2 linked regions of the Bombyx mori genome follow. The protein of the gene in region 1 interacts with the protein of each later gene in a pairwise test. Links are inferred from orthologs where the notes say so. Each region holds a gene or a part of one and is shown on either strand. Other genes may lie near its edges. The genes, in order: E3 ubiquitin-protein ligase RNF25 and ubiquitin-conjugating enzyme E2-17 kDa.

Evidence for each region.
Region 2: the proteins of E3 ubiquitin-protein ligase RNF25 (region 1) and ubiquitin-conjugating enzyme E2-17 kDa interact in a two-hybrid assay, tested with the Drosophila melanogaster proteins (2 studies listed by BioGRID). The link is inferred for Bombyx mori from reciprocal best matches to the Drosophila melanogaster genes CG13344 and eff.

The regions. Positions count from the first base shown.
Region 1 is NC_085114.1:12,702,826-12,707,127, reverse strand, and holds the start of E3 ubiquitin-protein ligase RNF25, read left to right. Parts: upstream 1-1,413; 5' UTR 1,414-1,600; coding exon 1,601-1,623; intron 1,624-1,696; coding exon 1,697-2,006; intron 2,007-4,302.
Region 2 is NC_085118.1:4,996,891-5,001,279, forward strand, and holds the start of ubiquitin-conjugating enzyme E2-17 kDa, read left to right. Parts: upstream 1-1,456; 5' UTR 1,457-2,498; coding exon 2,499-2,522; intron 2,523-3,021; coding exon 3,022-3,085; intron 3,086-3,751; coding exon 3,752-3,783; intron 3,784-3,863; coding exon 3,864-4,047; intron 4,048-4,128; coding exon 4,129-4,268; 3' UTR 4,269-4,389. Other genes in the region: progestin and adipoQ receptor family member 3, read right to left, coding at 1-13. UniProt on the Drosophila melanogaster protein: Catalyzes the covalent attachment of ubiquitin to other proteins. Mediates the selective degradation of short-lived and abnormal proteins.

The sequences.
Region 1 (4,302 bases):
AATATTGATTTTAATTTGTTTATAATAAAAGGGATATATAGTCTGTTATTTAAACTTAATTTAATTACTGTCCTTGAACTTCGTTTAGTAGGCCGTGCAATGTATGGAGAGTGACTCATGTCCCCCACCCAGCGTGTTTGTTTTTTTTATGAGTATGGGGGGGCTGCGCCTTCCCTATCCCGACCAGGGCTTCACCCCTGGATCCCACCGGGGCTTCGGCCCTGGACCCCGGCTCGGTACTTCGGCTCGGGTAGCAATTTTACACACGGGAGGAAATGTCCAACTTTTCTCCCGCGGTGCACATACTATTTTTTCTCCTACCAGGCCGAAAGTTCGTGGAGTACGGAGCTAGGGTCCAGGGGCGAAGCCATAGCAGGCGGTAGGGGGGGGCGCAGCCCCAATACTCATAAAAAATAATTAAACTGTTTTTTAATTTTTATATAAACTACTATTAATTGAATAAGAACTGTCTGATAAACTCATCTTTGTTTAATACTTCACTATTAAATTTTATTGCCTTTTGTTTATTTCACTTTTACACTAAACACAATATTGCAAATTACCCGAGCACAACAATGGCGGAGAATTTTAGCTGCGTGAAAGCAGATGTAGACACTAACGCGCATGCGCACTTGTACCCAGGGAGAAAAAATTACACTTTCTTCCCTGTATAGCGGGAGGAAAAGTTATACTTTCTTCCCTGTACAGCGGGAAGAAAACCGAACTTTCGGCGTAGGTAGGAGAAAAATAATGTTTCAATATCGTGTTTTTTTCCCTTTTGAGAGCTTCCGCTTTAACTTCCTCTTTTGAAGTCGGTTATAAAGCGTGATTGTGGTAGGTACCTTAAATAGCTCCCATTCTATTATTCTTTTTTTTTATTGCTTAGATGGGTGAACGAGCTCACAGCCAACCTGGTGTTAGGTGGTTACTGGAGCCCATAGACATCTACAGCGTAAATGCGCCACCCATCTTGTAAAAATATTTTCAATTTTCATCTTTAAAAATATTTTAAATTTCTACGTAAATGAAGAGGCGGGTAAAATTTTGCGTTACGCCAAAGTAACTATTCCACGTGGACGAAGTCGCGGACAAAAGCTAGTGTGAATATGAAACAATCCGCTGCACGTGACTTCTCGGGTTCTTAGAAAAAGTCCACTCTCAATAAAAAACCAACATTTTACCGAGTTTTTATTTCATCCCATCTCACCTCGTTCCATTTAACTTTATGCCAATTGCTTAAAAGTCTTCAATTAATCAGTTTCATTTAATTGCGCTTCAGATAATTTTTGAGAGAACAGAATAATAAAAGAAATATGACTTGGCGTAAACGTCTTATTACCAGACTATAAAAGCTTTAAAAAAATCACAGTAATTGTCTATGGTCAGTATAAGTCTATGGATGGAAGTGTCGTTGCCTTCCCCACCCCTCAGTCCCCTCGCTGAAATCAATGCGAGCAGCCTGAGCTTTGCATGAAGCTGGAAACATAAATAAAAGTACATATTATACCATATGTTAAGCTGCGTCAGCTGCATTGCGCTTGCCTGAAGTCTGAGCTGAATGCATCAATAATAATTTGTAGAACAGTTTTAAATCACTAAAATGTCGTCCTCCGGCGATGAAAGGTGTGTTATATCTTGTTCGGAATAAATTTGTATGAAATTTGTATTTCGTATAACATTTTATTGTTTTTAACAGAATCACGGACGAGGTGCAAGCATTAGAAGCAATTCTACTGAAAGATGTGGTAGTAAAACGCGTTGGAGATGTCCCAAAATACATAATTGAAACGATCATCCATCCGTTGACGGGGGATAATATCGATCAGCAATATGTATGTGTGACTCTGGAGGTGGGGTTGTCTTCTGGCTATCCAGACACCAGCCCAGAAGTAGCGCTCAAAAACCCTAGAGGTCTAGATGATATGATTTTAGACACTATCAACACACATATTCAAGACAAATTGAAAAATAATTTGGGACAACCAATAGTGTTTGAACTTATTGGAGTAAGTCAATGAATAATTATAAAAAATAACTATACAATCGAGTGGCCTTAATAAATGTTAGAATTTTAAACTGTTGAGCTAAGGAAAATTACAATATTTATTTCTTGTACTGAAAATAGATAGATTGTTGCCACAATTACTCGTTAGACTGACTATAGACATGGAAGTAACATGCATTAGTGTAGGTAGTTGACTTGCTTTGTTCTATTTCTTGACTGGCTTTAAACATAATATGTTATAAATAAAACTGATAAAAATTTGAGAAGACATTTGAATGAGAATGAAGATTAACAATTATTTTAATTTTTATAAACAGCTTTGTACACAGAGAATTGATATAGATAACAAAATTGTTATTGAGAGATTTCTTTTTACCTAGTAAGCTTACTTCTTTTTTCTTAGCTTTTGTGTGGTCAGCTCAGGTCAGTGGTGTATTTAAATTTTTATTCATCATATTACATATATTTGGTTTTTTGCTTGCCAAGTATTATTATTCTTTTTTTATTCATATACTATGATGTTTTTGTTAAAAAAATCTGTGCTAGAACATTAGTGAAGCTATGTCTAGGACTTCTTTTTGGATTGGACTTAAATAGACAGCAGACAAATAATTTGGCCTTGGTATCTCCATTAATATATATACATGTCTAATGAGGTAAAAGCCTGAGTCCAGTCCTCTTTATTTTCACAACTCAGTAGTGCTCCTAAAATATAAATGCAAAATTAATTTATGAAGTACTACTACCTACTTGTTTGGGACACCAAATTACAAAATGTTTAATTATTTAGGTTTTCATATATTCTACTGCTAGTAGTCTCAAAGGGTTGTACTGGCTTCACCACAATTAGTGAAAAAGCTCTCAGGGCTCAGCCTGAATGAATTTGCTAATATTTGCCCCAGCAAGAGCAGTGGTGATATATTGGACTACTGTAGGACCGGAAATGTGACCAATTGAGAAAATATTTTTCGTTCATCAAAATCTTACATTAAATTAGGCTAATTCAAGGAGATTGGTAACCAGTGCTTAGAATACCGAGAGCACAGGCAAAGCTGAAAAACACACGAGTGGATTGAGATCCGAAAGGACATATATGGGTTGTTTGCTCTTGCATCACATAAATCGAAGGTGGTAGTTAGCTCTCGCTCCATCTGGGCTGTGATATGGTTAATGGTGACTACGATAAGAGGGTGTGTCATGCCGTGCCACCTTTCTACGTTTGCTGACTAACTTCAATAAAAATATCAAAATTATCAAATTTTAACAGACGTGTATGCCCTTACACTAATTACTGACAAGAAATGCATAACATAGACCCAGCCAATTAATTTGATATTGATTTGATTTGATATTTAAAATTTTAAATTAATTTAAATTATCCTATACAATTTTTATAATAAGTAAGTCGACTATTTAAGTTATATGTATATTTTTGTTGATTATTATAAAGTAAACACAATTTGTGTTATATATTCAAATTTACTAAACAAAAGTTGGGTATTTGTGATAATTTGAAAGCACTCTGGATCTAAAAAAAATTGGCATTTTTAATGTCAAAGCAATTTCCATGTAACTATTAGTTTTGTTTGTTCATGTTTACTAGGTATTCTGGTTTATATAACCATTAATGTTCCAGGTAGTTCAGTTTTATTGTCTTGATGAGGGTCCTTTTTATTATACATAGAGGGATTATATAACACAAACATTTGCAAAAAGAATCTTTTGATGAGATTTCTTCATCACAGTCACTAGTTCTCCCTGGAACAAATCTCTATTTTTCATATTGAAGATTCTCTCCTCAACTACAATCCCAAATTAGTGATTATTGTATTATAAGAAGAGTTTTCATGGGGTTTATGTTATTCTATTGCTAACAATAACATAATGCTCTTAATGTTCTCTACCAATTCAGGATTTTGTTTAGTCACTGCTTTGTTTTGTTAAGTTACATTTATAAGTATTGGTAGCTGCTCTTTTCGATTATTTATTCTGAACATTATGTGCTATATGTACTATTAACAATTGCCGGTTGTTAGGGTATCTTGAAACCCCAGATTTTTTATTGTGTGAACCTGTGGACAATTTCAGTCTGCCCGATATCTTGATATCAAGGATCTGTGGGATATCAATCACTACGTGAGTGCCGCTATGTAACATACGAGGTATACTGTAATTACTATCACTGCCTCATGGCAGGAATAGGCTAGGTGCTGTTATCAAGTATTGATACACTTTCTCCAATATACGTCAGATCTTAGTGCGATTTGCCTGCGAGCAAGTATTAACAGAACGCCAGA
Region 2 (4,389 bases), on another chromosome or scaffold:
TTGTTAGGGTCATTATTTATTCACTTTTCTTTAATCGCTTTTAGTGCTAAATGAATAAATAATCACAAAATATTTGTGAGACTCATACCACTCTTATTCTAATTTCTTGATAAATATTAAGCACTTTATTGGAGATTTTAAATTTTAATTTATTCTAAAAAAATACATCATTCCCTACTCACAATCCTTTCACAACTGAATCACAGATTAATAAATTAGTAACTGCGTACAAATAGCATAGATAATATACTATAACTGAATTTTATGTGTTTGACAGTGATGCCAACTGTTCAAAAATTTACTCTACACCAATTTATTTACAGCCCGATTATATCCTTTTTTTTTCAGTGTGGCAATCGACTTCTTAGGACGCTTAATTGCCAGCGTCAAGCTTATAAAATCTTGAACTATTATTTTTTTATTCTTTCTCTAGACGGACAAGCTTACGATCCATCTATTCCTAATGGTAATCGACATAGATTCGCCCGATAAGCTCCAATAACTATTTGATCGGTTGATTTTGCTCTTAAGTTGGTTACGACCAGTTCAGAGTATAATCGCGAGATAGATCAATTCCTTTAAGTTTTTTTACTTGTATTTTAGCAAATCACCAAAGTGTCTATTTATCAGTGATGGAAAACTATCAATCTACCATTTTTCAGTGACCTCTCTTACGTCTGTGTAGTGTTATACTCTATGTGGTAAACTTTCGAACTTACAGCTTATTAATAATGTATTACGTCTTTGTTTTTTCGTGTACTAGAATGATTAGTGTAATCGTGATTGATTTATGTCTATAGGGGTAGTTCAGAGTATAGAGCTCATAAATTGAATCCTGGGTGTTAGGAAGGTGTTCCGAAGCTAGGTAATAGACAAAGAACTTATATTTTTAAATATGTACTATCCAACTCTGGAATGAACCGAAATAATAGCAGAAAATAAAAAAGTGCCATAAAAATAAAAATATTTTTCTTTTAGTAATGCTCAAATTCTTATCAACGAAGCTGATACGTACATATTATGTCTAACTGATGTAGGAGTTCCACTAGTACTCAACCCTCTCAAAAGAGCATGAAAAGCTGGTGGAGGGATATTCACTTATTAGAATTATTAGTACCTATGTAATACTTAAACTTTAAATATAAAATCAATGCTGTTTTATCAATGCTGTTTTATGTTATTCAACATTTTTGGACCACGGGAACGGTTTCATTTTCTTTTCCTGTGACATTAAATCCATGTATTTATTTCACGAAAGTGTGTCCCTTGAATCCTTATTTATTCGTATTTATTCGTAGCTACATTTTGTTTAGAGCTTAAAAAAACGTCACATGGCTTACTACAGAATAGCACCTGACTTAAAACACAACTATTGTATTCATGTATTTTAATATCCTTACGCTTTCAGTTAAAAAACATTAGCCAATTCTGTAGAAAACCTTCACACGCAAGCTTAGTTCATCGTTACTCAGAATTTTTACGTCCGACGGCCATAAATCGACAGCTTTTTGTGCAGTTCAAGAATGTGCCCTACTCACTACTACTCAATCTATGATTTTACAATCATTATGTGTCTTTTAATTAATGTTTGTAAAGCTAAACACAATAATTTTCAAATAAAGAAGGAAAATACTTTTGTTTTGAAGACTGGTTTCAAGTTCTCACATTTATTACTACTGATTAGTTATAGGCAGCATCAACAAACAATAAGTACATGCTACTGTGAACATAAATTAATGAAATTCTAAGTAATTTCCAATATTTTTGATAAAATTTCTTTTGCGTTTATAAAATATTTAGGAATCTCGGATCAACCTAAACGAATAACTTTGCTTCGATAGTGTTGAGCTGCAAAAAGTGATTTAAATATCGAGGTGACGTGCCAGTAATGAATATCTTCAGTATATAATCCAAAAATAGCGCTCTACGCATTCTTAGAGACTAAAGAGTTGGTGACATCATATCCTTTTGATGTTGCCGTCAGTAAAGCTTACGTTTATAGTAGAAAAATAAAAATTTAAATAGTTTCTTACAAGAACTAACGTTCTTCAAAATTAATTGAATATTAAATAACTTTTATCGTAATACAATAAGTCTTAATTTTATTTTGTTGACGAAATAAAAATAGCTAGAGTGATTTTTAAACGTAAGCCGTTCAATTTGGGAGTTTTAAAACTTTGAGTGTTTCCGAACGAATCCTGTGCATGGTCGATTTTCCTGTTTGCTGTTCTCCATTTGCTGAGAAGTGTTTAATTTCGATCAATTCGTGCTTTGTTCCAATTATTATCTCTTTTGTATTATAAGTTAATATTATTAGTTAATTAACAATTTAACGTTTGAATATAATTGTTGTGATTTTACAATTACCACATAAAACGACTTTGGTGGTACTTTTGCGTTTAGACAGGGAGCCATCTTGCAATCTCTAATCAAAGGTCCTTGGCTCACAGTTTCGTTGTCTAGTTGAAAGTCAGTATAACTCAACATAAAATAGTCAAATGGCGTTAAAAAGAATTAATAGGGTACGTTATTAAAGTTTATGTTACTATTATAACAATTGAACAAAAAGTGCGCTTTAAAATTGGCCGAAACGTATTGAACGTTTCGTCATTGTGAATTCATATTATCGAATTTTTCTGGATAATTCCGTCTTCGTAGTGATTTTACACGGACATAAAATGTGAACCTTTAAAATGTTCTTGTCTGTAAATATACGTAACGGTGTTTTGCTGGTTCATGTATATACGACAATTTTGTGCACACGGCGTACATAAAATGTCGGAATTATGTGCCAATTTTGAGGTTTTCTTGTCAATGAAGCCACCTGTGATGTGAAAATACTACAAATGTGGAATTACAATGAAGAAATCAAATTTACTGCGTTTGTGAAACGGTCAGGTTAACTAATGGGATGTCAGTCGATGCACAGTCTTTATTTTCAGAGTGATGATGTGACATGTCTCGAGGTGGTGTTGTCTCGTTGATTTACGCATGGGCTCAAATGGCTTTGTTTCTGTTTAGGAATTACAAGATCTGGGCAGGGATCCACCAGCACAATGTTCGGCAGGCCCACACGGTGAAGATCGTGAGTACAGAACCTACTATCTACCTTTTATGACTCATTCTATTGTATAATAAAAATAAAAAAAGTGAAATACTGCAACAGGAGAGGTTGGTTTCTGAGATTAATAAAGTTTTCTAACATTCGTTTTATATGTAGAAATAAAACACATTTCATGATACTTAAATATTCTTACTTTGTTAATGTGACAAGCAGATTGCTTATTCATAATACACTTGGTACCTACATCAGAATGAATCATAAGATATTTATATGAGAAGGTAAAATAAATATTTTCTAGCATCAATTACCGTAAATATAATTATTGACAAGCCAGCATGCCCTAATTAAGAGTACAAAATGTGTTAGTATGACTTAAAGAACCACAAAGGTTCTGTACTGTGAATGACACCATAGATGTCAATGACCTTTTGTAGATAGAAACAGCTGGAGTTGTTGTGAATTCTACTGAATATAAAATAATTTAAAATATGATTGATTATCTTTCCACTTAATTTTGGTGATATATGATACAGGTGTGGAAAGGGAAATTATTATCAAATTACTCTTTAAATAGTAAAGATCTTTATGTATTAATTTTCAGTGATCTCCATAAAGCGAAGATAAAATTGCATAAATATCAAAATAACATAACTTACATTCATTAATAACTTTTAAATATATTTTCAGTGTTCCATTGGCAAGCCACAATTATGGGCCCAGTAAGTATTGTTGTGTTATTCATGACAAAACTACTTGATTTTCACCAGTCTAATGAGTAATTATTTTCTTAAATTTTCAGGTTGACAGTCCTTATCAAGGAGGAGTTTTCTTCCTTACCATACATTTCCCTACAGACTACCCTTTCAAACCACCAAAAGTTGCATTCACAACACGTATTTATCATCCTAACATAAACAGTAATGGTTCCATCTGTCTTGACATTCTGCGTGCACAGTGGTCACCAGCGCTCACCATATCCAAAGGTAAATCAATAAATTTATTCTTAAGTTGTGTATTTTGTGAATTACTTACTGTATAATAATTTTTATTTATTTAATTTCCAGTGTTGCTCTCAATCTGCTCACTTCTATGCGATCCCAACCCAGACGACCCTTTGGTGCCAGAAATTGCTAGGATCTATAAAACAGACAGAGAAAAGTACAATGAATTAGCCCGTGAGTGGACGAGGAAGTATGCCATGTGATGAGTCAATTGTGACATCAACAAAACATACACACACACATCGCCACAGCCCGGGCTCTATCCTCCTACCCTTGTTCCCATTCCCTATTAGTCCTTAATCCATTTAAATCCCAATCCTTCAT